4 linked regions of the Notamacropus eugenii genome follow. The protein of the gene in region 1 interacts with the protein of each later gene in a pairwise test. Links are inferred from orthologs where the notes say so. Each region holds a gene or a part of one and is shown on either strand. Other genes may lie near its edges.

The links.
Region 2: the proteins of IFT20 (region 1) and WASHC3 interact in binary tests that used the Homo sapiens proteins (3 or more experiments, as listed by UniProt). The two-hybrid records come from large-scale screens. The link is inferred for Notamacropus eugenii from reciprocal best matches to the Homo sapiens genes IFT20 and WASHC3.
Region 3: the proteins of IFT20 (region 1) and EXOC7 interact in binary tests that used the Homo sapiens proteins (3 or more experiments, as listed by UniProt). The two-hybrid records come from large-scale screens. The link is inferred for Notamacropus eugenii from reciprocal best matches to the Homo sapiens genes IFT20 and EXOC7.
Region 4: the proteins of IFT20 (region 1) and EMILIN1 interact in binary tests that used the Homo sapiens proteins (3 or more experiments, as listed by UniProt). The two-hybrid records come from large-scale screens. The link is inferred for Notamacropus eugenii from reciprocal best matches to the Homo sapiens genes IFT20 and EMILIN1.

Annotation. Positions count from the first base shown.
Region 1 is NC_092873.1:35,659,466-35,666,598, reverse strand, and holds the start of IFT20 (intraflagellar transport protein 20 homolog), read left to right. Parts: upstream 1-4,133; 5' UTR 4,134-4,624; intron 4,625-7,133. Other genes in the region: TNFAIP1 (BTB/POZ domain-containing adapter for CUL3-mediated RhoA degradation protein 2), read right to left, coding at 243-456. UniProt on the Homo sapiens protein: Part of intraflagellar transport (IFT) particles involved in ciliary process assembly. May play a role in the trafficking of ciliary membrane proteins from the Golgi complex to the cilium.
Region 2 is NC_092874.1:284,999,611-285,007,575, forward strand, and holds the start of WASHC3 (WASH complex subunit 3), read right to left. Parts: upstream 3,003-7,965; 5' UTR 2,838-3,002; coding exon 2,787-2,837; intron 2,208-2,786; exon of another isoform or gene 1,832-2,207; coding exon of another isoform or gene 1,805-1,831; intron 206-1,804; coding exon 107-205; intron 1-106. UniProt on the Homo sapiens protein: Acts as a component of the WASH core complex that functions as a nucleation-promoting factor (NPF) at the surface of endosomes, where it recruits and activates the Arp2/3 complex to induce actin polymerization, playing a key role in the fission of tubules that serve as transport intermediates during endosome sorting.
Region 3 is NC_092873.1:342,425,730-342,432,897, reverse strand, and holds the start of EXOC7 (exocyst complex component 7), read left to right. Parts: upstream 1-4,153; 5' UTR 4,154-4,313; coding exon 4,314-4,373; intron 4,374-4,563; coding exon 4,564-4,629; intron 4,630-7,168. UniProt on the Homo sapiens protein: Component of the exocyst complex involved in the docking of exocytic vesicles with fusion sites on the plasma membrane.
Region 4 is NC_092872.1:528,367,429-528,375,089, forward strand, and holds the start of EMILIN1 (EMILIN-1), read left to right. Parts: upstream 1-4,643; coding exon 4,644-4,810; intron 4,811-5,903; exon of another isoform or gene 5,904-6,312; coding exon 6,313-6,438; exon of another isoform or gene 6,439-6,789; intron 6,790-6,999; coding exon 7,000-7,214; exon of another isoform or gene 7,215-7,304; intron 7,305-7,661. UniProt on the Homo sapiens protein: Involved in elastic and collagen fibers formation. It is required for EFEMP2 deposition into the extracellular matrix, and collagen network assembly and cross-linking via protein-lysine 6-oxidase/LOX activity.

The sequences.
Region 1 (7,133 bases):
AGAATGGAGGGATGATCTCTACAAAGGGCTGTAGGAATGGGTGTGGGAAGTCACTCATTTCTGGGCCCTCACTTACCTGTAACAGAAGGGATAGCCCAAACTACCACTGACGTCCCACTCAGCTCCACTAGTCTATGAAAGGGAAAAGCCCCACATCTCTCATGCAAGGTCTGCCCTGGGACCCACCAGTCCAAGTGCTTCCTGCCGTTACCACTCTTATTTTTCTGGCCTTGGGTCCTTACCCTCCTTGTCAGTCAGCACCTCCATGCGCCCGCTGAACATGGCCTTGAGCATGGTGTCATGCCGGGTGAGCACCCGCACCGTGGTGTAGTACAGGGAGCCTCCAACATTGAGCTGGATGTATTTGTTGCCCATCCCACCACCCTTAAAGCCCCCTGGCTTGGGCTTAGATCCTGAGGCTGGGCACAGGCCAGCCAGGCAGGTATCTCCGGACATCTCCCGCTGCAGGTAGATGACCACACGGCAGGAGGTGGGCCTAGGGCGTTCCACTGTGGTGGAGGAAGTCACAGGCAAGCAGTTGGTGGAGGCCAGAGCCTCATAATCTCAGGACTGAAGGCAGAAGGGAAGAGAGAACAACAGAAGTCAGGAGGACTGTGAACTTAGAGTTAAAAGGACCGCCACAGTCTGGCCACACCCTGTTCCTCTTCTCCCTCCAGGTCCCCATGCAAATGGCTTGGCAGCCCTCAGAGATACAGGCCAGGGCCCAAACAAGAGAGAGGAGTAAGCTGAGGACCCCTGAAGACCAGACAGAGAGGTTCGCAGGGATCACAAAAATGGCATTACTATAATAACATGTAAGGTGTATTATAAATAACAAACGGGATGCCCGTCCCACCTAGGTGTATACTATTCCCAAAGGTTCAACAAGGTCCCAACACTGCAGCCAAGTTAACTGGGAATTTACGCAATACAAGACTTCTCCAGGATTCAGATGAAAGGCACTTAAACTGTCCATTTAAATAGAAAGGGAGGAAGTTGGTTTCCCTTCCCTTCTCATATTTCCTTCCTTCCTTCTTTTTTTATGAAGTAACTTTTAAAAGTCAATTCTGGTCTGTATTCTCTCTCTTCCTTCCCTCCCAACATCAAGAAAGCAAGAAAACCAATCCCTTGTTACAACCATGTGGGAAGGAACTGAGAGATACCACTTGGGGTTTCAGGAAGGGATGAAAAACACATGACTTGAGAGAAAAGACTGGAACAAGCTACAAGGAAGCCAAGGCTGGAGCATCTTCAACTGCCAGGCTGGATAAGCTGATGTGAGAATCATCAACACAGAAATAATTAAATTCGTGAAAGCTGGTAAGATCAAATGCAATATAGTCTGAAGGAAGAAGAGGGCCCAGGAGGAACCCCAGGGAATGTTCAGGAGTGATCTGGAAGAGGATCCAGTAAAAAGGAGCCTGAGAAGGTGCGGTCAGAGAAGTGGGGGGGAAAACCAGAAGAGAGAAGAGTGTCACAAAAACCTAGAGCATTCTAGTGAACTGCTACCCCTGGCCTCAGGCTGCTGGGTTCTTGATTCTCTCTGCTTGGCACAGAATTCATGCCAATCCTTGCAGTTTTTCTATGTCTAGAGAAATGACCAGAAGGCCACCTGCTGGCTTGTCTTCCTGAGCACAAGGGCAGGGGTTCCCAGTCCTTTCCTATTTTCTAAGGGGTGGAAGAAGATCCCAGAAATACTTCATGATCCAGGAAAACCACAAGATGAACCCCAAACACTGGGGATTCATTGTAACACGGAATTCTAGATGCTAGTGGGCCTGGGGAAGTAGAAAGGGAGACAGACTGCACCTCATGCATTAGAGACTGATTTTCCTTCCACCTACTTTTCAAGGTAGCAGGCTAGAGTTATAGGGCGGGCTGTCCTGAAAGTTAGGAAGGCTGGGGTTTGAGTCCTGAATAACTCTGAGCCAGTCGCTTAACTTCTCAAGGATCTTATGCAACTCTTTAAAACAATAAATTTCACCGATGTGCTTTTATAAAGGAATTTTCCTACAATTATGAAATCACAAGTTTGGTTCAAAAAACAATTAGCAAGGTGCACCCTAAGGTGTTCTACCCTTGGAACAGAACAGACATACCAGGCTTGTCTCCCCAACCAGGCTGTAAGATCCCTTAGGGCAAGAATTACACCCTAATTCTGGATCCCTCACAGTGTCTGCACATTGTAGGTATTCATTAGATAATGACTTTGGAGGAGAAACTACAGCTAAAAGGATCTGACTGAATGGCAAAGGAAAATGGGAAAATGTATTAGTAGACAAGTGAGGGCTGCCATAGATAGCACTCTAGGAGAACGGAGATTTTAGCAAAGATCTGACAAGGTCTCCTGCTGCTCTTATGGACCAGATAGAGGGAAGATGCTGAATGACTCCATCTAAAGAAGAGGCACTAAAGGAAGGTGGCCTTGGTTTAATCAAGTACCCCAGGGACCTGTATCTGGCCCTATGCTGTTTACCATTTTTAGGGGTGACTGAAAGGTACTGACCACATTTCTGGATAGTGACAGAGTCTAGAAAGATCTGTGCAGCGTAGAATGTTGGGCCATACCCAATAAGAAGGAATTTAACCGTGATAAAGATAGTCTTACATCTGGACCCAAAACAAGTCCATAAGCTAAGGATAAGGAAGCCCATTATGGTTTCTGAGGGATGGAGCTAAAAGAGACCATTCACCCAGGCCAGCTCCTCACTGTGCAGAGGACAAAACCAGGAAAGGAGTGACTTAGGCTCAAGGTCGCACAGCAGCAGCTAAACAGACTGGAGAGTAGTGTGGTGGGTAAAGATCTCTAAGGTTTAATGCTTTGCCATTAACAGTGTGCTACATGTAACACTGGCAGATATTTGGGAAGAAATGAATAGGGTCTTGGGCTGCATGAGGTGAGGTGAGACTCCTGATGGATTCTGCTCCAGGCAGACCACTTCTGGAATGCTGTGTTCAATTTGGGGTGCTACGATTTAAGAAAAAAGACCTTGGATAAACTGGTGGAGACCCAGGATTAAGGAACCAGGGATAATGAGCCTGGATAAAACTTAGCCAGGTGGAGGGAGAGAATGAGAACTATCTACAAGTATCTGATAGGGGACCCCAGAGGGCGGAGGCTGGGACAATGGGTGGAGATTGTAGAGAAACACAGGAGGAGAAGGTTCTTAACGAGATGGGGCCGAAGTGGAGTGGGCTGCCCCAGGAAGCCTTAAGGAGCTCTGTGCAAAAAGGGAAGGAGGACCACTCAGTGGGCATTACTGAAGTACACGTCGGACTAGAAGTGGCCCCTGCTCACTCGGCCATTCTGGCTAGAGAAGCAAGCGGAGGAAGGAAACACAGGCTCTGTCTCCTAACCTAAAGGGTATTTTCCTTTCAGCTTTTCTAAGCTGCTAAGCCTTCCGGAGCAAGCCAAGAACAACAACGCGAAGGGCTTCTCCCAGCCCTGAGGCCGTGGCCCCCTGCCGCAGGGATGGCTTCGGGGCCAGGAGCCGGGCCGCCCTGGACCAAGCGAGGTCAGATTACATTTCCCTCTGAACCAATGGGCTCCCGGGCTCCGCCCACAGGGAACGCCCTGAAACTGACTCGGGGGAAAAAGAAGTTTCCATCGAGCCCCTGAGCGCTCTTCCTTCCGGACTGGGGGGAGGTCTAGAGGCTTGGGGGTGGGTCCGGGCCTCGGCCAACGAAGCCCCGCGGACTAGGGAACCGACGGGGCGGAAGACGTGGCCCGGGAAGGGAGGCAAAGCGAGGCTCACCCCGGGGTCACCCTGCCCCCCAAGAATGTCTATTGCGCTCCCTTTCCGGCTCTTCCTCTGCTACCCGCTCTGCCTTCTTCCCCTGTTTTCTCCCCCTCCCTCCTCTCGCCCTTCTCCTCCCACCTACCCTTCCTCCTCCTCCTCCTCCCATCTCCCCTCCTCCTTCGGGCCGGGTCTCAGAGGACGGCGAGGGGGCACACTCACGGCCTCTGGTCCGGGGCGCGGGGCACGGGACGCGCCTCCCCACCTCCCCGCCCTCCTGGGGCGGACGCGGCCCTTCTCTTACCTTCGTCCCCGGAGCGTCTTCCTAGGGCTCTGTCCGGCCTGGACCCCAGCTCCGGCTCCCGCAGCCCCAAAGAAAAACGCCCCGACCCTGACCCCGACCCCCGCCCCAGGCTCTGGTAGTGAGCTCATATCCTCCTCAGGCTCCACCCCGAGCCCGGCTCCCACGCCTGCCGGGGAGGGCCCACGACTACAACTCCCAGAATGCAAAGCGAGGGAAGGCACGTGTCTCGGGGGGATGTTTTTCTCCTGCCCACGCCTCCTGGCAGCCGTCTTATCCCCGGGAAAGAGGGAAAGCGACTTCCGGCTCCTCCCTCGGCGCAAAGGAGTAGGGGAGGTGTGGGCTTTCCTTGCAGTCTAACCTTCGCTCCTCAGACTCAGCTTCCCAGCAGGCATTTCGAAGAGGGAGGTGGAACCATTTCCGGCGGCGAGTTCGCGGCGCGGGAAGTGACGTGTACGGTAAACAGGAGCTGTAGCCGTGGCAGCGCCGGGGCGGGCGGCTCCGGGCGGCGGATTTAGCTGCTAACCGGAGTGCGGGGCCGCCGTCTCCCGCGCCCGCCCCGCATCGCGGCGGGCCCCGGCTTCAGGTGGGTGGCGGCACGGCTCGCGCGACTATTGGCCTCGCCTCGGAGGCGCGGGCGGGTGCCTCAGTTTCCCCGGGAGGCTCTCGGGGAACCCCCGGTAGAGGGCCTGGAAGAAGTCGGTCGCCCCGGTTCCACGAATGTTTCCAGGGGGCTGCCTGCCCTGTGGCCCACGCCCGTCATCACTGAGTGTGGCGCTCGGCACCGCGCCCGGGACCCCACGTGGGACGGGATTTGGCCCGGCGGGGGCCCACCCGCCAAGTCCGAGGGCGGAGGAGGTGGCTTCGGGGCTGGGGTCCCTTTGTGGCTGTTGGGGTGGGGCTGCCCTGGCCTTCGGGGCTTCGAACTTCCCAGTCCCTTGTTCTGGGGGCAGCTGGTGGTGCAGAGGATGGAGGCCGGAAGACTTAGGTTCAAATCCGGCCCAGACACTAACTAGCCCATTGCCCCCCTCCAGAAAAGCAAGTGGCACCTGCACCCCATAAAAGGGTGCTGGAGGGGCCTGGCCATTCTTTTCTCTTCCATTTTTGTGTCTTGTGTCGATGGTAAAAAAGTTGTTAGGGACCCGGCACGCGTGACCTGGGGCCACTTAAGGTGAGACAGCCTGGCCGGAATCTGGTCTTCACCTTTTCGGTTTCAGAAATTTCATTTTAGCCAATTAATAGTCAACACTGTGTACCTGCCTCAGGGCAGCCAAGAGGTGCAGGGGGTGGAGCTCTAAGTCTGAAGTCAGGAAGACTCATCTCCCTGAATTCAAATCCAGCCCCAGTCACTTACTAGCTGTGTGACCCAGGGTAAGTCACTTCACCCTGTTTGCCTCAGTTTCCTCATCTGTAAAATGAGCTGGAGAAGGAAATGATACACCAAGAAAACCCCAGATGGAGCCGCGAAGAGTGGAGCACAGTGAAGAACCATTTAACCACAACTGTGTGCCTGGGGCTGTATGGGATGTTCAGGGAGGACCAGCTCCTCTGGTGTGAGGCCTTGCTGAGCCCTTTTCAGGGCTGCTCATTCACCTTTGTTGTTTACCTATCACCTGTGGCTCCAAGAAACTATCACGCCCCACGGCGTACCTCAGGAACCATTTTGGCCGATGTGACCCACAGGCCTCGAACCCTTGGCTGAGTTAGGGGGCTGTCTACCCCAGGTGTGTGAAGATTTCCCCAGCAGAACGGGGGGATGAGAACAGTTTGTTCCAACAGCCACAACAGTGACCGAAGTAGGTGCCGTGGAGGGCTCGGTCATGTATTGCAGCCTGGCCATTGCCAGTTGTCCTCAATTGGATGACTTTGGAAGAGTGAGGCTGGCAACCTTGCAGGACTGTTTCATTTAAATCCAATTCACAGGCAAGTCAAGACATCACCTGAGTTGTTCTTGGTCTTTGAAAATGAAGAATGAAAAAAATCAACACTATGTGCTTGGCGCTGTGCCAAGTGCTGGGGATCCAAAGAAATTCCTGCCCTCAAGGAGCTTGTAGTCTGATGGGGGGAGCCCCCTCCAGGTGACCTGGCCTGGGGGCACAATGCTTGAGGAGTTGAAACCAACAAAGTAGCTGAGGAAGTTAACCAAAAGAAGGGAGGCCTTGGGGAGGAGTTCATTGCTCTGTCCTCCAGCCCTCCCTCCAGTCTGAGGAGAGAGGCACCTGAGAGTGCTGAGGAGGTGTGAGCAAGATGATAAGATTTCAGGGGAGGAGCTTTCCTGGGGGAGGCAAGATGTTCCTAGAGCTGAGCCCATGTCAAGAGAAGGCAGCTGGAAAAGTTAGCTGTTCCCCAATGACCGAGTCCTAGGGAAGCTTCGCTTGCAGCAACCCAGCTAATGCAAACTTATTAATTTGTAATGGGAGAATCTGTGCTGCTTGTCTGCATAGGGCACTGTTTCTTGGGTGTAGACCAGATACCCAAATCTGAAGGTGACTTGGTGAGCCCAGCTGAAGAGCAAAGGGGGCTGTATCTTTTTTAGGGGATACTCACCTCAAGCTAGGATAATTTGATGGAGTGTCTGGTAGCAGTCATCTGGCATCAGAACACTCACACTTCTGGATGGTCGGGGAAATACATCAACAAGTCCTTCCCCTTTGGCTCGCACCTGCTCTAAGGCCAGCAACACCTTATGATGTTGCAGTGCAGCTAGTTACAACTTGCCATGATCTGCATTCTAGCCATGATTCTCTTTAGGGATGCTGAGGCCCCAGGTCTTACTGAACCCAAGTTCACCAGTCGTCCACTGAGCATTATTCAGCTTCTTGAATAAATCTCTTTATCAAAAAGTGGGTATCATACATACCTAATCATCAACCTTTTAAAATTATTGTTGGTCATAGTATTGATCAGAGTTAGGTTTTTCAAAGTTATCTTTACAATATTGTTATACTATCAGTTCTCTAGGTTCGTCTCACTTTACTCTGCATCAGTTCATAAATTCTTTCCCAAAACTAACATTTTCCTAATTTCTTGCAGCATAATAAAATTCATTTATTATTTGTTTAGGCATTCCCCAACTGAGAGGTGCCTCCTCAATT
Region 2 (7,965 bases), on another chromosome or scaffold:
AGGTCAGAACAAATGAGTACTGGCCCTGATGCCAGAATCACTTTTCCAACAAAAAAATTCACCCTCATTTCTCTGCCACTCTAAGAACAAACACCAAACAACCTACCTCTTCACAAACCGTAGAAAAGCGGTTGAGGAATTGTACAGTATGAACCACAAACTGGTTTAGAAATGCAACAGTCCTTTTCTGTTGAATTGCTGGCACCTGCATTAAGTAAAAACACAACATAATTAACATACAAACACAAAATAATTCGAGCAGGAGAAAGGGCTTCTAGGCTCAAAACGGTTCAGTACTTTGTGTGAGATTCAGAGCACTGCCAGGAACACTCATTTTGGAGTCAGAGGGCCTGGGTTCCAGTTTGGGCTTTGCAACTCACTACCTGTGTCATTTTGGGCCAGGAACTACCCCTCTTGGGGTCTCAGTTTCCTTATGTATAAAATGAGGAGGCTGGAACAGATTACTTCTTAGATCCTTTCCTACAAATCCTAGGAGAGCTATCTTTAAGCACTAAAGGGTTAATAAAGGGAAAAAGAATTCTCCTTTCTTGGCCTAGCTTATGGAACCAAACTAGGCGCAAAGAGTAAAGACAGATCTTGGATCAATACAAGATGCTCCCTAACAATTAAAGACAGTTCAGAGCCAGGAAGCATCTCATCCAAGGGCACAAAGAAATGAAAAGGCCAGACTTTGAGCCCTGAACCCAGGATTTCTTCCACTACACCATGCAGCTCTATGGCAAAGTCTGAAGTTGACCGAGAGACACAAGATTCAGAGTACGGAGAATCTGCATTGAAAAAAAAAATATTTTTTTTTAATGAGAAAATTAAAATGGATTATGAGGTGAGACAGGTCTAAGTAGTGAATACTTATCTCTGCAACCTGCAGAAATGGGGAATTCTGGGAAAGAATTACTCTTCTAGGAGCCATTCAAAGATAGACAGGATGACCTCTTTTTATAACCCATTCAGGAGTTTGATTATTTGTAATTTAAGGTGTTGGCTTGGGATCAATGACACTTGGTGACATTTTAGTGCCCAGAAAAGATCCTCAATTTGGAATTAAGAGGATCTGGGTTTCAATCAATCAATAAACATTTATTAAGTACCTATTATGTGCCAGGCTATGCTAAGTAATGGGGTTACAAAAGGAGGCAAAAGTCAGTCGCTGTCCTCCAGGAATTTATAAACTAAAGCGGGGAACAAAAACATGCAGAGCAAGTTACCTACAGGATAAATAGGAATGAAGAGGAATAATAAATAATGGTGCCTGGTAGAAAAACCTAGAATGAAAGAGGGAGAACGTTCCTGGAATGGGGAACAGCCAAAGAAAATGTCTGGAGGGGAGAGGTGGAGGGTCTTGTTTGAGCCTGGAGGCTTAGTTCTGTGGTTGCGTAAGCTTGGGTTAGTCACTTTTCCGGACTCAGTTTCCACCTATGTTAAAGGAGAGGGTTGAATTAAACATCAGAATTAATGAAAAACAATCAGAAAAAATGGCCAAGGAACACAATCTTCTCAAACACCTAGGCTTTAAGCAGGAAGGACCACGCCACTTAGCAACCAACTAACAAGTAAAGAAAATCCTCCAGCGTATTCAGTGCCTCCCTCCAGGCCTGTCCCAAGCTCTGGGGCCATGTCTGGGAGGCTGGCCGGTGGAACCCAGCTGTGTGCCTCCCACTGACCAGGGAATAAAACAAAACAGCTTCTTGCGTTCTGAAGGAGGAGAAGGGCAGAGGAAGGAAGGGTGTGGTTCCACCACCACCATGTGGCCCAAGTGGTCGCTGGTCCCTGGCAGGACACAGACCTGGAGTCCAAGGGCCTGGATGCGCATCTCCTCTGTCTGTGACCTCAGGCGTGCCACTAAACACTGCACAGAAGGGAGGCACGGGCCAGCTGTGCTCCTCTGCCTTTCAGTCTAGGAGCTGTGACTCCTGGTCACACAAGGAGCACAGGGCGGGGGTCAGAAGGCCAGCTCGGGTGGGACGTCAGCAAGTCACTTGCGTTTTCTGTAGGATTCAGTTTTCTTATTGGACTGGATGGCCCCCTCTAAGGTTCCTTCTGGATGACAGATGGGGAAACCGAGGCACAGAAAGATTCTCAGGATCGTGGATCTAGAGCCGGGCCCTCGGAGCCTGACCCCCTCATTTTACAGATGGGGAAACCGAGGCACAGAAAAATTCTCAGGATCACGGATCTAGAGCTGGGACCTTGGAGTCTGACCCCCCCATTTTACAGATGGGGAAACTGAGGCAGGATCCCAGGATCACGGATCTAGAGCCGGGCCCTCGGAGCCTGACCCCCTCATTTTACAGATGGGGAAACCGAGGCACAGAAAAATTCTCAGGATCACGGATCTAGAGCTGGGACCTTGGAGTCTGACCCCCCATTTTACAGATGGGGAAACTGAGGCAGGATCCCAGGATCACGGATCTAGAGCCGGGCCCTCGGAGCCTGACCCCCTCATTTTACAGATGGGGAAACCGAGGCACAGAAAAATTCTCAGGATCACGGATCTAGAGCTGGGACCTTGGAGTCTGACCCCCCATTTTACAGATGGGGAAACTGAGGCAGGATCCCAGGATCACGGATCTAGAGCCGGGCCCTCGGAGCCTGACCCCCTCATTTTACAGATGGGGCAAGGGCGATTCAGAGAGCAGAAGTGACTTGCCTACGGTCACGCGGACTCCAAGTGTTCTCTCTGGGCCTCAGTTTCCTCCTCCGTCAAGCTAGAGGAAGGGTCTCCGTGACCCCGGGAGCCCCGGAAGCGACCCTCCTCCCCTACCAACCTTGGTCAGGTCTATGCCCGACCCCATCAGAGGCAGCCCGTCCTCGTCCATGGCCCCGGCGAGCGGGCCCCAAGCCCCCTGCTTTCCCAGCCCGGACAACGGGAGCGGGTCCCGACTGGCAGCCTCAGTCTGAGGTACCACGGCCCTTTCCCCCCGGAAGTGGACTCAGCTAACAGCCGAGGTGTCTGCGCTTGCGGAGAAGACCAACTGAGCCCCGCTCGCAAGGCCCTTTGGGAGTCGTAGTTTTGTTCCAGAGCCTCCCATTGGCTCTGAGTCTGCGGAAGAAACCAACCTCCCCTGGTCCCTTCCGCACAGCCTTCTGGGAATTGTAGTTTTTCCTCTACTCTCCTACTGGGAAAGTTGATGGCGCATGCTCAAGAACAGTTCTCGGAAAGAGAGCTGCAGTCAAACTTGGATACAACTAAAGTCAGTCTCAGAGCTAGAAAGAGAGATCACGTGGCCAGGTAAGCACGTGTGAATTTAGGATCAGAGCTGAGAGGTGGCCGCAGGTGGCCAGGTGACGACGCCTGTACTTAGGGGCTTGACTCTAGAGCTGAGAAGTGACCAGGTAGCCACACTTAGTCCTGGGCTGACAGCTGGCTCCAGGTAACCATGTGACCGCACACATTTTTAGACTCAACTCCAAACCTAAGAGGTGGCCAGGTAACCACACCTGTACTTAGGGGCTTGACTCTAGAGCTGAGAAGTGACCAGGTAGCCACACCTGCATTTAGGATCATGCCTCCAGAGTAGGGAAGGAGTTCAGGTGGCCAGGTAACCACACCTGTACTTAGGGGCTTGACTCTAGAGCTGAGAAGTGACCAGGTAGCCACACCTGCATTTAGGATCATGCCTCCAGAGTAGGGAAGGAGTTCAGGTGGCCAGGTAACCACACCTGTACTTAGGGGCTTGACTCCAGAGGTGGGAGGGAGCTTAGGTAGCTAGTTTTCCATATCTCAGGTCCACTGACCATGTAGTCAGCCATACCTGTGTATAAAGTCATGGCTCCAGAGCTGAGTAACCCCAAAGGCAATCTAGTTCAAATTCCATTACATTACCATAGAGAAAACTGAGGCCCAGGGAGATTGCCTAATATATGGATTCATAGTGGACTGATATTTAATTGGAGTTAGTTATTATTCAGAGCACAGTTGATCTGTGCTCTGAATAATGGAAACTGCTGGTGCTAGATCTTTGTAGCTTTGAGAATAGAAGTGATAACTACTCTGCACGGGTTTCTGAATGCAATTAATGTGTATTGTTGTTAGTTACATCTGACTGTTTGAGCTATTTGGGGTTTTCTTGGCAAAGATACTAGGAGGTTTGCCATTTCCTTCTCACCCTCATTTTACAGGTGAGTAACTGAGGCAGACAGGGTTAAGTGATTTGACCAGGGTCACAGAGCTGGTCAGTGTCTGAGACAGGATTTGAACTCATGAGATGAGTCTTCCTGATTCCAAGCCCAGCACTCTATTCTGTGCCATCTAGCTGCCCATGTAACTAGTGTGATTGGGTGTGAAGGTGGCAAGAGACATCCCTTTTCTCTGGGATATGAAACAACATTTCAGTACTAGAAGTATCCAGAGGGCCCTTGCTTAAACTCCCCCTTGAATGAACATCAGCCTGTTCGTAGGAAAACTGGGTTCAAGGGAAAAAAGAAAGTTAAGTGGAATTATTAAGGCCATGAGCAAACTTCAGCATCTCTGATCCACAGACTGTGTGAAGCCTATTATGAAGGGTTTTTCAGAAGTACAATCCAAGGCCATGCTGGGCATAGTGACACAGAGCTAGGCTGTCTCCTTAGGGCAACTGAATGGCAAAGTGGATGGAGAAGGGGAGACCTGAGTTTTGATTCTGCCATAGCCACATTTTTGTGGTGTGATCCTGGGCAAGGCAATTACTCTCAGCCTCAGTTTCCTAATCTGTAAAATGTGAGTAATGGTGCCATTTGTTTTATAGGATTGTTGTGAGGCCTTGTAAGTTGTCATGTGCTCTCTAAAACTATAAAGACAAGAACAGCACACATGATGGTTCTTTTATCTTTTGATGAATTCAGATGACTAAACACTATAGTGATGAATATGTTCCCATCACAGTATATATGTTTTTATATGACGTGAAGTTGACACTATTGCATAGGTAGATTTCAAAGCAGTCACCAGGGAAATTGCCCAAAGCCTTTTGGTCAGTGACCAAAGGACAGCTGGAAACTGTGATTCCCGTGATTGCTTGTACCACAGTGTAAATGTATTTTTTGCCTCCCACAAAGAAGGGGTAAGATGATTGCACCACTAACCTCTCCCCTGTCTGGAGAAGACGATGTACCATTTCAGACCAGAGACTGGATCCTTTGGTAGAGCGTCTACCATCTCTACCATCTAGTTGTGATGAGTTTCTTTTTGGAAAGAACCATGAAAGATCAAACTGGTGTAGAACCAAGTGCCCCTACATACAGAGGAGGGCCTGCTATCATGTGTTCTACGGTCAGCTTTTCTAAAAGGAAAGGCAACTTTTGAGAGGTCAACAATGACTTTATTTATTTAATTTATTTTTTTTCCTTCTTTCTTTCTTTATTTATTTAACTTTTAACATTCATTTTCACAAAATTTTGGGTTCCAAATTTTCTCCCCTTTTGTCCCCTCCCCCCACCCCAAAACACCGAGCATTCTAATTGCCCGTCTGCCAATCTGCCCTCTCTTTTATCATCCCTCTCTGCCCTTGTCTCTATCCTATACCCCTTTACCTGTATTTCTTATTTCCTAGTGGCAAGAACAGTACTCGACAGTTGTTCCTAAAACTTTGAGTTCCAACTTCTCTTCCTCCCTCCCTCCCCACCCTTTCCCTTTGGAAGGCAAGCAATTCAATATAGGCCAAATCTGTGTAGTTTTGCAAATGACTTCCATAATAAGAACTAACTATATTTCCCTCCATCCTATCCTGTCCCCCATTACTTCTGTTCTCTCTTTTGATCCTGTCCCTCCCCATGAGTGTTGACCTCAAATTGCTCCCTCCTCCCCATGTCTTCCCTTCCATCATCCCCCCCACCCTGCTTATCCCCTTATCCCCCACTTTCCTGTATTGTAAGATAGGTTTTCATACCAAAATGAGTGTGCATTTTATTCCTTCCTTTAGTGGAATGTGATGAGAGTAAACTTCATGTTTTTCTCTCACCTCCCCTCTTTATCCCTCCACTAATAAGTCTTTTGCTTGCCTCTTTTATGAGAGATAATTTGCCCCATTCCGTTTCTCCCTTTCTCCTCCCAATATATTTCTCTCTCACTGCTTGATTTCATTTTTTTAAGATATGATCCCATCCTCTTCCATTCACTCTGTGCACTCTGTCTCTATGTGTGTGTGCGTGTGCGTGTGCATGTGTGTGTGTAATCCCACCCAGTACCCAGATACTGAATAGTTTCAAGAGTTACAAATATTGTCTTTCCATGTAGGAATGTAAACAGTTCAACTTTAGTAAAGTCCCTTATGACTTCTCTTTGCTATTTACTTTTTCATGCTTCTTTTCATTCTTGTGTTTGAAAGTCAAATTTTCTTTTCAACTCTGGTCTTTTCATCAAGAATGCTTGAAAGTCCTCTATTTCATTGAAAGACCAATTTTCCCCTGAAGTATTATACTCAGGTTTGCTGGGTAGGTGATTCTTGGTTTTAGTCCTAGTTCCTTTGACTTCTGGAATATCCTATTCCATGCCCTTCGATCCTTTAATGTAGAAGCTGCTAGATCTTGTGTTATCCTGATTGTATTTCCACAATACTTGAATTGTTTCTTTCTAGATGCTTGCAATATTTTCTCCTTGACCTGGGAACTCTGGAATTTGGTCACAATGTTCCTAGGAGTTTCTCTTTTTGGATCTCTTTCAGGCAGTGATCTGTGGATTCCTTGAATACTTATTTTGTCCTTTGGTTCTAGAATCTCAGGGCAGTTTTCCTTGATAATTTCATGAAAGATGATGTCTAGGCTCTTTTTTTGATCATGGCTTTCAGGTAGGCCCATAATTTTTAAATTGTCTGTCCTGGATCTCTTTTCCAGGTCAGTTGTTTTTCCAATGAGATATTTCACATTATCTTCCATTTTTTCATTCTTTTGGTTTTGTTTTGTGATTTCTTGGTTTCTCATAAAGTCATTGGCTTCCATCTGTTCCATTCTAATTTTGAAAGAACTATTTTCCTCAGTGAGCTTTTGAACCTCCTTTTCCATGTGGCTAATTCTGCTTTTGAAAGCATTCTTCTCCTCATTGGCTTTTTGAACCTCTTTTGCCAGTTGAGTTAGCCTATTTTTCAAGGTGTTATTTTCTTCAGCATTTTTTTGGGTCTCCTTTAGCAGGGTGTTTACTTGTTTTTCATGCTTTGCTTGCATGTCACTCATTTCTCTTCCCAGTTTTTCCTTCACCTCTCTAACTTGATTTTCAAAATTCTTTTTGAGCTCTTCCATGGCCTGAACCCACTGAGTGGGCTGGGATACAGAAGCTTTGACTTCTGTGTCTTTCCCTGATGGTAAGCATTGTTCTTCCTCATCAGAAAGGAAGGGAGGAAATGCCTGTTCACCAAGAAAGTAACCTTCTATAGTCTTATTTTTTTCCCCTTTTCTAGGCATTTTCCCAGCCAGTGACTTGACTTCTGAGTGTCCTCTCCACCCCCACCTCGCCTCCAGATCCGCCCAGCCAGCACTTGGGGTCTGAGATTCAAATGCTGCTTCCCAGCCTCGGTTTTGGGCGGGGGCAGGGCTGCTATTCAGTGTGAGATTAAGTTCAGGTGCTCAGGTGGGGGCAGGGCTACCTCACGGGTGCTCAGTTCCCTCAGGGGGTTTATGCAGAGACCTTCAACAATGGATCTGGACTCCTGCATGCTTGGGGAGCCCTGGTCTGCTCCGCCTCCGCTGCTGCCTTCTGAGGGGGCCTGAGTTATGGGGGCACCCCACTCCCTTCTCGACCCGCCAAAGAGACCCTCTCACCGAACCTTGTCACCTGTGGGTGGGGAACCCGCGTGGCCGCTGGAGATCCCGTCCCTGAAGCCTGCTCGGATCTGCTCCTTTCCATGCCACCGAGGCAGGGTTGGGCTCTGCTCCGGGTCCGGGGAGCGAGGGACCTTTTGCAAGAGGTTTTCAGGCTCTCTGGAGCAGAAATCTCATCTGCTCCGTTCTGTGGCTTCTGCTGCTCCAGAATTCGCT
Region 3 (7,168 bases), about 310 Mb from region 1:
TCTTGTGAGATCTTCTGTGGTCTTTTGGCTTTGGTTTTGCGTTTTCAGAGTAGCTTTCTCAATTTGCTTCCATTGACATTCAAGAAGATATTCCTACCTCAATGAAAGTTGAGCTCTTCTTAGCATAGATACCACAGTCCTCCATGTCTATTAGCATTTGCCTCACCTCAACTCACTATGGTGACACCAGCCAAGATTCAATACCAGTCATGAGTGGATAAAGCTCAGAGCTATGTATTACCTTTTTCTGGTTACTGCAGACTAATCTTATCCTCTTTCTTAGATACTACCATACTTCTCTGAATTATTCTCTGTAATTGAGAATGTACTTTGACTCTAAAGTCAGGAGGTTTATTTTCTTTATGCTGATCAATAGAACATGTAAATGTAGCATATGCTTCCTGAAGAGTTTCACCACCGCCATATTGCATCTCTAGGTTTTGGATACATATTAGTCATGTGATTTTAAGCAATCTAGTCTTTAGGACCTGTACAGAGCAAAGAACTATTACAGGAAGGAGCTTGTAGTCCCCTGGACCTCAGTGGCCTTTTCAGTAGCAGGGGCTACCTTTATTAGATCTATGGGCATATATTACTCTCTCTCTGCTTAAAAGTTCTCTTATTTGTGGAAACTTGCACTTGACTAAAATGAAGTCAACGTCTCTTCCTCCTTTCACACCTCCACTGAAGTGAATATGGAATGTATCTCCTGCCCTTTAAAGACATCTAAATCTCTTGCCTAATCTGATGTGCACCTGCATTAATTTTATTAGGATTTAGTAGCCATTGTCTTTTCTTTAATGTGAAAGAGAAATTGATAGGTAGGTACATAGATAGAGATAGCACATTTATAAGGGGCTGACCATGTGCCCACTGTGCTAAAACCATTGGAGATACAGAAACAAGCAAGCAAAATAATCGCTGCCTTCCTTACATTCCAATTGAGGAAGATACTAATGAGGGCTGGAGAGATAGAGATATAGGAATTCCAAAACTGTAGTTGCCTGTGTGGGCCATTTGGAAAAAAATTCCCAAACTCAAGCATTATTAAGGTCAAGGTGGTAAAGATTTATTACACTTTTCAGCGGGCAAGAGTTCTTAGGGAACCTGCAACCTTGGAGGGGTATAGGTAAAGTTTATATAGGATATTCTATAGTAAAACATGTGCCAAATATGCTAACTAGGTGATTCAGGGCAGAATTAAGGAGTGATTAAGGAGTGGTTAGTTCTTAAAAGGAACATGCACTTTTGGTATCTACTGCACAGGTATTTTACCCAGAGTTCTTTGGGAACTAGCCCAAGGAGGGAGTTTTAGGCCTGAAATGCCACTAAGTCAACTAACAGACAGGACTGACTAAGTAATAAAAGGCTGCTCTCATCAATGTCTTGTTAGACAAGATAAATGTGAAGGAGTATACGTATGTCTAAATCTAGGATAATGGTGAGTAGTAAATGTCATTATGACCCAGTACACAGCCGATTCAAACTAATAAATTCTACAGCTGGCTACTGCAGCAGGAAGGGAGACAGCCATTTTTGCTGGAGCAGGCTGTTGTTGGGCTGGGAGGCTAAGGAGAAATTTGATTTTTAAAGAGAAATGTGATTTTAGAATTGGGGTCCAAGCACATGTACCCAAGCACCCCATCAATACCTTAAAGGGGAGCTGTAAAGCATGAAGAGGTGGGGTAAAGAAACATAGTGAGGCATGTGAATGTTCAGAAGTAGAGATGAAACCTAGCTCCAGGAAATATAAGGTGAAAGGTCATCAATTAGAAGCCAGGGTGATTCCAGGGAGGAAGTGAGGTTGATGAAAGGAGTAATGAAGGGGGTAGGGGGAGAGAGAAGAGAGGGAATGATGCATTGACTTGGGTTGTTAGCTACAGAGGCAGAATCAGCTTTTCCTCACAGGAAGGGAAAAGATAAACTTAGATGAATTTGGCAATTAATGGGAAACTGATCTCTCACCTGGAAAAAGAAAGAATAGGGAGCTATCCCTTGTGATGCTTGGCATCACCAACTGTTAACTCTCAGCTCTTGGGAATTTATAATTGCAATCACGTTATATAGCAATATCCACCCATCAAAGTGTCAAAAGATGGGAGTGGAGGGGTAGGAAAGGGAGGAAGACAGCAGGCAACAGGACATTAGCCACTTTGCTCAATTCTGCCCACCCACATCATAGAAGATAAAAAACAAACTCTTCTTCCAGCTTTTTTTCCCCAAAATTCTATAACATATAAAGTCCTATAAAGCCAAGTTCAAAAAACCTCAGCAGTTGGTGAACTCTTGGGGAACATCTGCTTGAGTCTCTTGTCTCTGTAGCAGGGATAACTGGGCTAGGTGTCCATGACCCCAGGGCTACGTTCAATACTACAAAAAGTGCTGCTATGAATATTTTGGCATCTATGGGATCCCTCTTTCTGTCATTGACTTCCCTGAGCTATACACCTAACAAAGAGATCTCTAGGTTAAGGGGCATGCTGATTTTCATCACTTTTTTAAAAGCATAATCAATAAATCAAATATTCATTAAGTGGTTACTAAGTACCAGATGCAGTGCTAAGGGCTAAGGTTAAAAAAGACAAAAGTGAAACAGTTCCTGTTCTCAAAAAGTTTGCATTCTAAACACTGTATTCTATACCAACAGAAAGGTTGGACCAATTCAAGGCTCTGTATGTATTAGAACACCTCTCTTTCCACAGTCCCTCAGTTTCAGTGTTTCATAGAGACAGTTTCCTTCCCAACTTGTGAAGAGTTTGGGGAGGTCTTCCATATGTTTGAATTGGACAGGGTTATGCTGACCTGAAAACTACCAAATAACAATTTTGAGTACCTAGTTGGTAAAGTGGATAAAATGTTGGCCCTGGAGTCAGGAGGACCTGAGTTCAAATCCTGCCTTAGACACTAGCTGTTTGCCCCGGGGCAAGTCACTTAACCCTGTTTGCCTCAGTTTCCTCCTCTGTAAAATGAGCTGGAAAAGGAAATGGCAAATCACTGTCATTGCCAAGAAAACCCCAAATGGAGTCATAAAGAGCAAACAAACAAAAACCAACAACACAAAAACCAAAAAACCATGATTGAACAAAAACAAAATGCTGAACAGGGATGCTGAAACTGGTCTCCAAAGGGGACTTTAAAGATCTGAGCAGGACCATTAGTGGAGATGTTGACATTCTCCCTCCACTCCCCAGATCAAGAGGACTCTTAGGATGGGTGCTAAAAGGCTAGAGGAGGGAGGCACCCAGACAGCTAAAAAGTCCTGTGTAAAATTGCCAAAAGGTTTAAATTTCCTCTCCTCAACTCTGTCTCCTTGTGCTAGCTATGCTAAGAGGCACTGTAAAAAATAGAGATACGTAATAAATACTGCCATTCTTTTAAAATTTCTTCCTTATTCTGATTTCCTTTCTCTTTACTTAAGGCCTGTGCTCCATCATTAAAGCTCTGTATTGCACTGTCTGTATATTGGTGTATAAAGGAGTATAAAGGAGAGGACTAGCAGCCACCTGAATACATTTTTTAAATAAATCAAAGATTCTTTGATGACACATAGATTTTTATAAACGGAACTTCTTTGGTCTGGTGACCAGAGCCGCCTCTCTTGGTGAACTTCAGGCTTTTTATTAACAATCTGTATTTTAAAAGCGAACTTCCCAAAGACGAGTGTAAACTGGATCAAGACTGGTTTTGCTTCTGCTAGTCAGCGCCTGCAGCAGACGGGTTCACTAATAACTCAAGCGGCCCACCTTCAGAAGCACCTGGACCCACACCTGGGGAAAGGGGAAGGCTCCGCCCCCCAGCCGAGCCCCCAGGGCGGAGGCGGAGACAAAAGCGGAGATTGCCCCGCCCCTTTCTGTTGGGAGGAGGCAAGTCCTCCTCTGCCAAACTCTGGCTGCCCCCGTGACCCCCGCTGTCTACACTGATTTGTGTTAGTTCCCAAGAGATCTTGGACATAAAAACTTTATTTTACGCAATGATGTTTTTCCCTTCGAAAGAAGGCTTCCCTGCTAGAGGAAACCACTTCCTAGGAGATACACTTGTCACGCCCAGCAGTGATTTGCCCAGGAGCGAGAATTTTGTGCGCATGCTCCATCTCAGCGAGGCGGGGGTGGGGGGGTTGGGGGAGAAAGAGAGGAGGAGTGTGCGCATGCGCCGTCCTAGCTCCATCTCCGAGAGTGGGTAGGCCCGCAGCAGACGGAAGTGGGTGTGCCGGAGACGGTGGCCGAAGAGGGCCGCTCCGGAAAGGGCCGATGGAGTGAGGGCCGCAGGCCGGAGGGGGTCGCGGGTTCCCTAGGCCGGTCCCGCTCGGAGCGGCTATGATTCCTCCACAGGAGGCGTCCGTGCGGCGGCGGGAGATAGAGGACAAATTGAAGCAGGTGAGGCCGAGGCGACGGGAAGGGGAAGGACTGCTTGGGAGATGGAGGAGGGCTTGGGGGGCGCGGAGGTGGGGAGAAGGAAGGGGATGGGACCCGCGGCCGGCGGGGCGGCGGAATCGCCCCCTCTCCGGCCCACCCCACGGGGTGACTAACGCCGCCCTCCTCTATCATCCATCCGTCCATCCCCCAGGAGGAGGAGACGCTCTCCTTCATCCGAGACAGCCTGGAGAAGAGCGACCAGCTCACCAAGAACATGGTGAGTGTGGGGCACGGCCCCCGACCCTGCCCTGTCACCCGGCAGGCCTTTATGGAGCGCCTCCTCGGTGCTCGGCGCGTCGCTAACCGCGGGGGACGCAGACAGGCCGGAGGCAGTGCCTGCCCTTCTACGACCCAACGGGAGACCCGTCGTGCAGACAAACACAGATAGGAGAAAGTAGAGTGTGCGTGATTGCAGAGAACCTGGTGGGTGTTGTGTGGCCGCAGTTTCCCCGTCGGTAACCCGAGGGGGTCGGACTCATTGATCCCTAAGGCCCTTGTCGGTTTTGGCTCTCTGTGCTCCGGATGATTGTATCCTTCTCCGATTCTGTGATGTTCCCCTCATGTTCGGTTCTGTGGGCCACGGGCTGATTGCAGGGTTTTCGGTCTACCCAGCTCTGCCCCCGCTGCCTCTCTTGAGTTAGGACCCAGAAGCTGGTTACTCTTCTTATGTCATGTTTGCCTTACTAGTTCCTTGTCAGGTACCCCAAATAAATACTGATTGGGCATCCACCTGCATGTTACACTGTGTACAGGCTCTGTGGAATATAGAAGAGGTGGTTTCTAAGCTTATTTTCTGAAAAGGAGATTAGATGAGCACAAAGGAGTAGATTTAACTGTGATCGTGTACAGGTACATTAAGCACCAGGATGGTAATAAAGGTACAATATGTATGGAAAGCAATAACTATGTGCCTTTATACTTCCAAATTTCAGTTTAGACATTTATTAAGCACTCATTGTGTACAAGGCACTCTGTTAGGTAGTGGAGATACAAAAACAAAGAGAAACTGCCTTCCTTCAAGAAGCCACCAAGTGGCTGTAAGAAATGAGCCACATGTATAACCTTAAAAAAAAATGATAGAAATGATAAATATGTGTAGATAAGATAATTTGAAGAGACTATGTGCTAACAATTGGGGAAGTGAAAAGAAGCTTCATAGAGGGAAAAGGCACTGAGTGGATCCTTGAGGGAAGATAAGAATTTTGAAAGGCAGAATTGAATAGGAAGTATATACTAGATATGGAGTATAGTTTGTGCAAATGCATGGAGACAAAATATGGAATACCTAATTAAGATAGGTAATGCACTTAGTAAGCACTTGCTGTGTACAGAAACAGTGTAGCATGCTAAGAATGCAAATGTGTGAAGGGGAATAATATGAATTGAAGTTACAAAGTTAGGTAAGAGATAGACTATGGAAAATTTTAAATTTTAGAAAATTGTACTTTATTTTAGAGACAGTAGGGAGCCACTGAAGATATTTGAGCTGGGGAAGGACATAGATGTACCTGTTCTTTAGAAGGATTATTTTGGCAACTCTGTTGAAGGATTGGAGATGAGAGACTAGAAGTTAGGAAACCGGTTAGGAAGTTATTACAATAATAGTTCTAGCAAATGATGAGAGCCTGAACTGGGGTGAAAGTGTGAATGGAAAGAAGATTCCACATTTTGAAGGTGGAATCAACAGGACTAGGCAACTGATTGAAGTTTGTGGGGAAGAGAGAGAGGGAAAAGTTTAGGATAACTCCAAAGGTCCATACTTGGGTGACTAGGATGAGGGCAGAGAAACCAAAATAGAGACATTACTTTCATCAGTGTGAGTAATCTCTCCACCTGTGCACATCAAAACTTCTACATCCCCTCGTGCGGTTTCGTGAGTTGCTGGGGCCAAAAAACTTCATCTTCTAATAACCAAACATTTGGTGGTGAGTTTCTTTGAACTTAACTAGACTGGTTCTCAGATGACATTTTGTCACCGATTCAGTGTCTCAGTGTGGAACCTACCAGAGTTTGCTTTTCTTTCTAACAGACTTCACGATTCCCACTACAACATGATGAGGCACTGAAGCAGAGCTTTTGTGAAGGAATATCTGTGTGCATGTAGTTATTTATAATAGCCATACACATATATAACAAGAGGCAGTGGAATTTGATGGATAGAAAACTGGTCTTGAAACTGAGAAGACCTGTCATACATTGCAAGTCACTCAACCTGTCAGTGTTCTAGACCATCACTTCTTAAATTGTGGGTCACAACAGTGGGGCTTTGAAAATGTTGGCAACAGTAAACAGCGAAACAATCAAAAACTAATTAAAAATCAACCAAGTAATGAATGCCAGGTGTTTTCTGGCAGTACTTGCCCATGTTGCTTCTTGCAGCTTCACTTCAGCCTTGGTTCTGAACACAAAGCATGCACAGGTTACACTGTACATGCTCTCAGGCCATACACCAAGGAACACTGCCAAAACATGAAAAGGGGTCCCAAGTGGAAAAAGTTTGAGAAGCCCTATTCTAAATAACTCTCTATGAAGCCCTATTCTAGACAACTCTCTAAGTTGCAGAAAAGATGCTGATCTGTATTGGTAGAGGGAGTTCCCACACCTTGATCTTCCCCTTGCCTGCCACTTATAGTATAAATGTTTATTGACTGACTGACTTGACTTATTCTTGTGTACATACAGACAGACATATATATTTCATGTAGATAGAAGCAAAGAGTAGGTTTTGAAAGATTGTCAGGACATCTGGAGCAAAT
Region 4 (7,661 bases), on another chromosome or scaffold:
ACTGACTCGTAGACTTAGCTCTTCTCAGCAATACAAGGATCTAAGACAACTCCAAAAGACTCACAATGGAAAATGCTATCCACATCAATAGAACTATGGAGTCTGAATGCAAATTGAAGCATACTATCTGCTCTATTTTTGGTGTTTTGTTTTGTTTCTTCTTTCTCATGGTTCCTCCTATTGGTCCTAATTCTTACAACATGACTAATGTAAAAATGTATTTAATATGAATGTATATGTAGAGCCTATATCAGACTGCATGCATTCTTGGGGAGGAGGGAGGAGAAATTTAAAACTCAAAAGCTTATAGAAGTAAATGTTGAAAACTAAAAATTAATTAACTAATAAAAATTGTCAAGAGAAAGCATGTTGGGTGGACCCCCTTTGGTGAATTATGGGGAGACATGAAACCAGGGCCAAAGGGGTTTGGGATGGGGTGGAAGTAGGGGATGATCTGGATTATTGAAAAGCCAAGCCAATGAGATCACATTGGAGCACTGTCATATGATCACAAATAAGTATTAAAGATGTAGTATGTAAATGGAGGATATAATTATTACTATGTCATTATTATTTGCCCTAACACTTGTGCTACCTGCTGCACATGGGGAAAGAGAAGAGTTGAAAGGAATGAAAATAAAGAATGTGGTCCCCACTGCATGAAGATTCTTGCTATGAAATCCTACTCAAGTTGGATTGCCACCTGGGCTGGCATGGCCCTAATAAGTCTCATTCAAACTGTATATCTTTCTTCCCCATTATCAGGGGCATCTGAGAAAAGAGCAGTTCATCATAAAACTCTCCTTTGTCTATTTTCTACTTGCTTCCTGGTAAATCTGTAAGTGCCAATTAGTATGGCCTGGATTACCCATTGATACCTATATCCCTACCATGTGCAAAGTGAAGACAGGAGAGTCAAAAGAGCATGCATGCTAAGTCCAACCTCCCCACCTGGTGCTCCAAAAGTCTTAGTGTAGTTTTAAGTTTTGATAACTTCACAAATAGAAATTCTGTATGCTTAAAAAAAATCATTTGAAAGCTTAGTTGTTCAAATTTCCTTTGCACCTACTTAGTTTTGTGTCTTTTAAATAATAAAATTGTAATTTTAACGAGATAGGTACCTGCTTATTATGAATTATATGTGCATAATACTGATACTTTCTCAGACCAGTAGATTTGATATAGGCTACCTCAGTCACCTGATCTCTCTCTGTTAGAGTTTTTTTTTTTTGTGAGGTCATATCAAAACTGTTTCTAGGCATCAAAACTGCACTCCTTGGATTATCTTAAGCCTAGAAATCCTTTTGGTCACTGAGCAGTAATAAAAGTTTTGCAAATTTCAGAAATCAACTACAGTAAGGTATAGCAAAAGATAGCGATGATGCTGAATTTTAATAGAAACAACAATATTTTTTTAAAGTGTATGTGATTAGCCTTTCAAATGCAGGTGTTTTGGTAAGTTTTTAAGCAGTTATACTTCTGAAGTTATTAAAGCTTAAAACTGTACTGACTTATGGGACACCTTGCATGTAACTCAGAATTTTATAGTTGAAACTTCAGTAGTCATCTGGTCTGATCCATACTCAAAAAGGAATCCCCACCATAACATATCCAACAAGTGTTCATTCAACCTCTGCTTGAAGACCTCCAACTAGAGGGAATCCTTTAGTTCCCAAGGCACCCTTTGCCACTTTTGTTGTTCAGTTATGTCCAACTCTTTGTGACCTCATTCGGAGTTTTCTTGGTAAAAATATTAGAATGATTTGTCATTTCCTTCTCCAGCTCATTTTACGGATGAGGAAACTGAAGCAAACAGGGTTAAGTGACTTGCTCAAGGTCACACAGCTAGTGTCTGTAGTGAGATGGAAACTCAGAAATATTAGTCTTCCTGACTCCAGGCCCTGAGATCTACCTATTTTGCACCTACCTGCCTCATTTCCACTTTTACATATGTGTATATATCAACAAAACCAAAGAAAAAACGTACACAAAATCAGAAGATTTTTAGCTCGTGTATCTTTATTAAGAACTTATTTTCTTAAATTATTTGGTATACTAATTTCATTTGAGTTGGTTTTTCTATTTGATCAAGATATAAGTGGTTAAATTTGGCTGAGGATTTGATTAGACATTTATTCTATGATCTGTAAGTTTCTTGATGATTTTTAGTAAATGTACTTACATTAATATTTAAGAGAAAATCTTTTTTTAAAATTTGCTTCTGATAAGAAGATACAAAAGAAAAAACATTTTAGTGGCACAAAATTTATTTAATTTACTTGAAAAATGTCATTCTTTCACTGAGAATTTGATTGTGGCTATTACCATACTCTAGTGGCTCTTTGCATTGTGATGTGAGCCTTTTCCTGTCAAAGACTCCAAGTGTATACACGCAAATGGAAGAGACCTGGTACTACTCTCTCTATACCCCACCTTTCATGTAGCTCAGGGACCCCTCCTTAGCCAACTGCCATTGGAACCTCAGCACTCTCCTCCATCTGACCAACTGCCACTATGACCTTTCAACCCCACCTTCTATCCTCATCCTCCATGACTCTCAAACAGTTTCAGGTAAGGCTGCTACTATTGCTTCTTCCAACCTCCCAACTCCATTCATCTGATTTGTATATTATCTCCATCAATGCTTACATCCTCCACCAGCTGCTCCCAATGCCCTGGTACTTGAAATTCATTACTCATCCTGTCTGCCTTTTATGAGGGGTTCTGTCCCTCATCCTACTGTAAGGATGTCTTCAACTTTCAGTGAGAGTCTCCAACAAACCTACACTGATGATATTCCACAGTCCAATCTATAGGGTATCCCATAACTTACTGTGAGGATATTCAAAAACCTACTATCAAGGTGTTCTACAACCTACTGTGAAGGTATTCCAAGATATTCTGAGATATTTGGCATCATCTGCTTCCAACCAAATCTCCCACTTCATCCACCTTGTCTCTCCAGGTTCGTTTCCACACCTCCAAATTCCGGTTGGACAGTTTTATGTGGATGCTTACCATCATCTCATACTTGATCTGAATTCAATCACCTTTCCACCCCAAATCACCTTCTCTGCTCTCTAAATGTCATAGAAACATAGAATCTTAAGAACTGAATTTATTCAGTCCAGCCTCTAATCTCTTTCCATTGGGAAACTGGCCTGTTCCACCCATCCCTGATTCCTAAATGTGTGCCTTCCTCACTTCCCAACTCAAACTGTCTTTGGAAAGCTGATTGTAAAATTTTCAGTGTGAGCTTTTCATCGCAGAAATTGCGACAACTCAGAGCTTGATTTATTGTTTTGTTGGTAGTCTAGGCTTGAGAAAGTGAAAGTGACAGAGAAAATGTGAATGATGCAGATTAAGTGTAAAAATGTGTGGTAAATTTTTTGAGAGCTGGTGATTAAACATTTACCAGCATACTCCTGCCTCCCTCTTAGAATCTCTGGCTTCCTTCAAAACCCAGCTCATATGGCATCTCCTTTGAAAAGTCTTTCCTGATGCCCTTGCTAGTTCTTTCCCTCTCTTCTTGAAATGATATGTGTGCACATACATACACGTATACATAAAGTATGCATGTTTATGTGTTTTCAAACTAGAACACAAACTCTGTGAGGATAGCAGCCATTTTTCATCTTGTTTTTCTACCCCTAGCACCTAGCACGGTGCCTTGCACATAGTAGGCACTTAAGTAAATTGCACTGAATTGAACTGAGGCTGAGAGGCTTAAGTGCCCCAAATCATCCACAGGAGCTAGCTAGCCTCTTCTCTCCAGATTCCCTCTTTCTCTTCTATGTCCTGGCCAAGACACAAGTTCTCCAGACCCTCCCCCACCTCTCCCAGGTATGCCTCCCCCAGCCCCAACCACCCCAATCCCAGAGTCAATCCCCAGATTAACTCTTGGTCTTGCTGTTGTCTCTGCTGCTCGGACTCCCTATATGAGTGGCCGGCCCCAGGTTTCTCCCGCCCCAGCTCTGGCCCTGGCTCCATATGGCCCTGTCTGAGCGGCTGGCCCCCTGCCCGGCGGCAACTCCACATTTCTGTTTCACCCCCCCCCTTTTTTTTCTCCTTCCCGGCGTTAACAAGAAGCAGATGTGGAGCTGCTGGAAGGGGGGTGGGGGGGTTGGTAGGCTGGACCTCCAGCCAGACTGGGGGGAGGGGAGGGAGAGAAGCAGAAGGCCAGGGCCCGCCCCACACAGCCACCCTCACTCAGAGCCGCCACAGGGGCACAGCCTCATCATCCTAGAGGAACCAGTGAGCAAGGAATGGGGCAAAGAAGGTAGCAAGGAAATCCAGAAGAGTGGGGATCAAGGAGAGGGCTGTGAGGGGGCCAGGGAGAGGGGCTTGAGGAGACAGATCCAAATAGGTAAAGAAGAACTGGAGGACTAGGTGCTAAAAGAACAGACTCCCTTCTGAAGAGGAAAGGAGAGCGGAAAGAAGAGAGGGAGGGACAGAAAGAGGAGGGGGGAAGGATCAGGATAGAGGGGGCGTGAGGCTCTGGCAGGCAGGAAGCTGGGGAAGGGGGGATAGGGGTTCTCTCTCCTTCTGAGGAGCGTCAGGATCCCCCTGGGACTGAGGCAGAAGCAGCCAGCTGGGCTGGGATGTGCAGCTGAGGCCGGGCACAGAGTGGAGCCTCCCCCAGCATGGCCCCCACCTCACTCTGGAGCTGTTGCCTCTGCTGCTTGCTGGCTGGGGCAGCCTGGGCTGCAAGCTACCCATCTCGGGGCTACAGCCTCTACACTGGGGCCCGGCCCCTCACTCCTGGGGGGCCACAGGCTCAGAGTGTCCACCGCCCAGCTAGTCGCCACAGGTAAGAGCGTTGACCCCCAGCCCCATCCACTCCTCAAGTACTTTCCCTGAAACTTTCCTACCACCTCTACCACCTTTTCCCCAGAGGAATGAAACTGAGACTTGGGTGGGGTGAGGGGTGGAACAAAAATTACATATCCAGGCCACTCCATGCATTCATTGACCTTCACCTAGGCCTAGCCTGCCAGGTTTATGGAGTTTTGGGTTTAGAAATAAACCTGATGATTTGCATGACTGCATATGTATAATCTATATCAAATTACTTCCTTCTTAAAAAAGGGAGGGGAAACAGGAAGAGAATTTGGAACTCAAAAAACAAATGTTAAAAATTGTTTTTACATGTAAATTGTAATATACATGTAATGCAGATATAATTGGGAAAAATATATTTAAAAATTTCACATTAGAAATAAACCTGACTGAACTGGTTAAAGGTAACCCAGAGGTGATGGCTCCTTAGCTCCCTACCAAGGGTTCCCTGCTCTGAGACCACATCAGGCCCTACTTTGCTTCACTCTCTAGCCTCTGGTTCCCCTAGCCCACCCATAGTCCCTGGGCAACAGGGGCTATACATACTCTGAAAAAGACTACTCACTGCGCATAGTAGGGCAGGGAGGCCAGGACTTGAAAGAACAGCCCCTGCATTCATTTCTACCCTTTTGTTCCTTTTACCTCCCTGGCTGCCCCTGCCTCTCCCCTTAATGTGTTACTGACCCTATTCTCCTTGCTACCCTTTGCCCTTCTGACCCTCACTTGATCCTGTCACAGATCAGAGGCCCTATATAGATGGGGAGCCCTATATAGATATACTGAAAACTGGAAATGTTTTTTTGGTGTGTGTGTGTGTGTGTGTGTGTGTGTGTGTGTGTGTGTGTGTGTGTGTGTGTGTGTGTGTGTGTGGTGTTGGAGGGGCAGAGTGGGAAGGGAGTGGTGAGTAACTACTAGTGAATGCCTCCATTATCCTTATCAGTCCTGGGCTGTGACCAGCAGAGAAAGGGAAAAGCCCTAACTCTTTTCCCCTGAAGGTCTTAGGGCAACATCCGGCAGGATAGATCTCACTCACGTAAACAAACTCACATAGAGAAACATACAGATATAAACATATGTACATACTTGGTATTCATAGATATCACGAGGTGACAAACATTCAAAGCTCTAAAATTAAATGGTTCCATTTAGAATTCTATGCCCATGAGCATATGCAGACACACAAGTTCCCAGACTCATGGCAACAACTATGGATAGACACATCTATACATAAGCAAATGGATGTATACCTGGCCTCCTCCAGGCTCCTAAAGAGTATTCTCTGGATGTCAGGAGGCACTCATTTTTCCTATTCTGTGCTTCCCCATTCTAAAAAGTTATTCTACGACCCCCTACTGATCCAGGAGGTACGGGGAGAGAGCCCAATGGACGGCCCTGCCTCTGTGCAGCTCCATCCCCTGCCTTCTTCCTGGGGTCCTTGTTTCAAGGCTCAGGCCTTGATGGTTATGCCTGCAGGAACTGGTGTGCCTACGTGGTCACTCGGACAGTGAGCTGTGTACTGGAAGACGGGGTGGAGACCTTTGTCAAACCCGACTACCAGGCCTGTGGCTGGGGCCAGCCCCAGTGTCCCCGAACTATCACGTGAGTTGCCTGGGCCAGGAAAATGGAGACTGGGTGGGGGTGGGAGACCAGATCAAGATGGCAAAACCAGGGAATTTGACTGGAGGCCAAAGAAGCGATATGGGACTGAGCCTGGAAGTGGAGGTTAGAGCCATTTAGAGTCAGTGGTGAGCTAGAAATATAGACTAGAGAGATTGAGCTGAGAACCCACTCAGGGACGTCTTGCTGCCCCCTTGTGCTGCTTTCTGTTTTGGGAGCCCAGATCTGGGACTGAAGCAGGGCACAGGAGGAAAAAATGTGGGCAAGCTCATGTGGGCTCTCTTGCAGGGATCCAGGAATCACCTGGAGACTATGCCGGACTTCCTCACAAGCCTGGTTTTTAAGACAAAAAGAGAAAGTCATCAGTAGCACATTTACTGAGCAAAAATCTGTGCTAGGTGCTCCTACGTACAAAAGCTGTGTAAAGCTGAATCAGCTCTCCTCAAAAAGCTAAGCACACTCACAGAAAAAGATGACTAATGGTACAGGAAAGTCTATGTTATGTCCAACGCTTACTTCTATCCCACCTTATCTCTCCCTTAGGTATCGTAGCTTCCTCCGCCCTCGATACAGAGTAGCCTATAAAACAGTGACGGACATGGAATGGCGGTGCTGCCAGGGTTTCGGGGGTGAGGACTGTAGTGAGGGGCCAACCCCAGCCCTAGGTACTACCACTCCCCACCCTCGGCCTCATCTAGCCCGTCCCAATCTCTCAGGGTCCAGTGCCGGCAGTTACCTGAGTGGACTTGGAGGAGAAGGTAGGTACCAGGAATAAGAAGAGAAACGAAGATGGAGTAGCCCTGTCTGGATAATGTGGGGCCACATAACTGGAGGCAGGGCCATTACTCCTGAAAACAGAAAAAAATTTTTTTAAAGTACGGGTAAAATGAGCCTGACAGATAGGTAATAGTCTTCCTCAAAGACTGTCTGCCCTACTCTGCAACCCTAGAAGCAAACAGCTGTGTGTGTGTGTGTGTGTGTGTGTGTGTGTGTGTGTGTGTGTGTGTGTGCGCGTGCTAGCCAGGGAGGTAAAGCAATTCCCTTTTAGTAGGTGAGGGGTGATCAGACAGAGCATATCCTCTGGATCTGTGTGCATAAATTGGCAAGGGCTCCTTGTGGGTGACACAGATGACCCTTAAAATGAAAATGCCTCTCCTACAAAGAATCCATGGAAAGACATACTAACTTCCCAACTCTAGCGAATT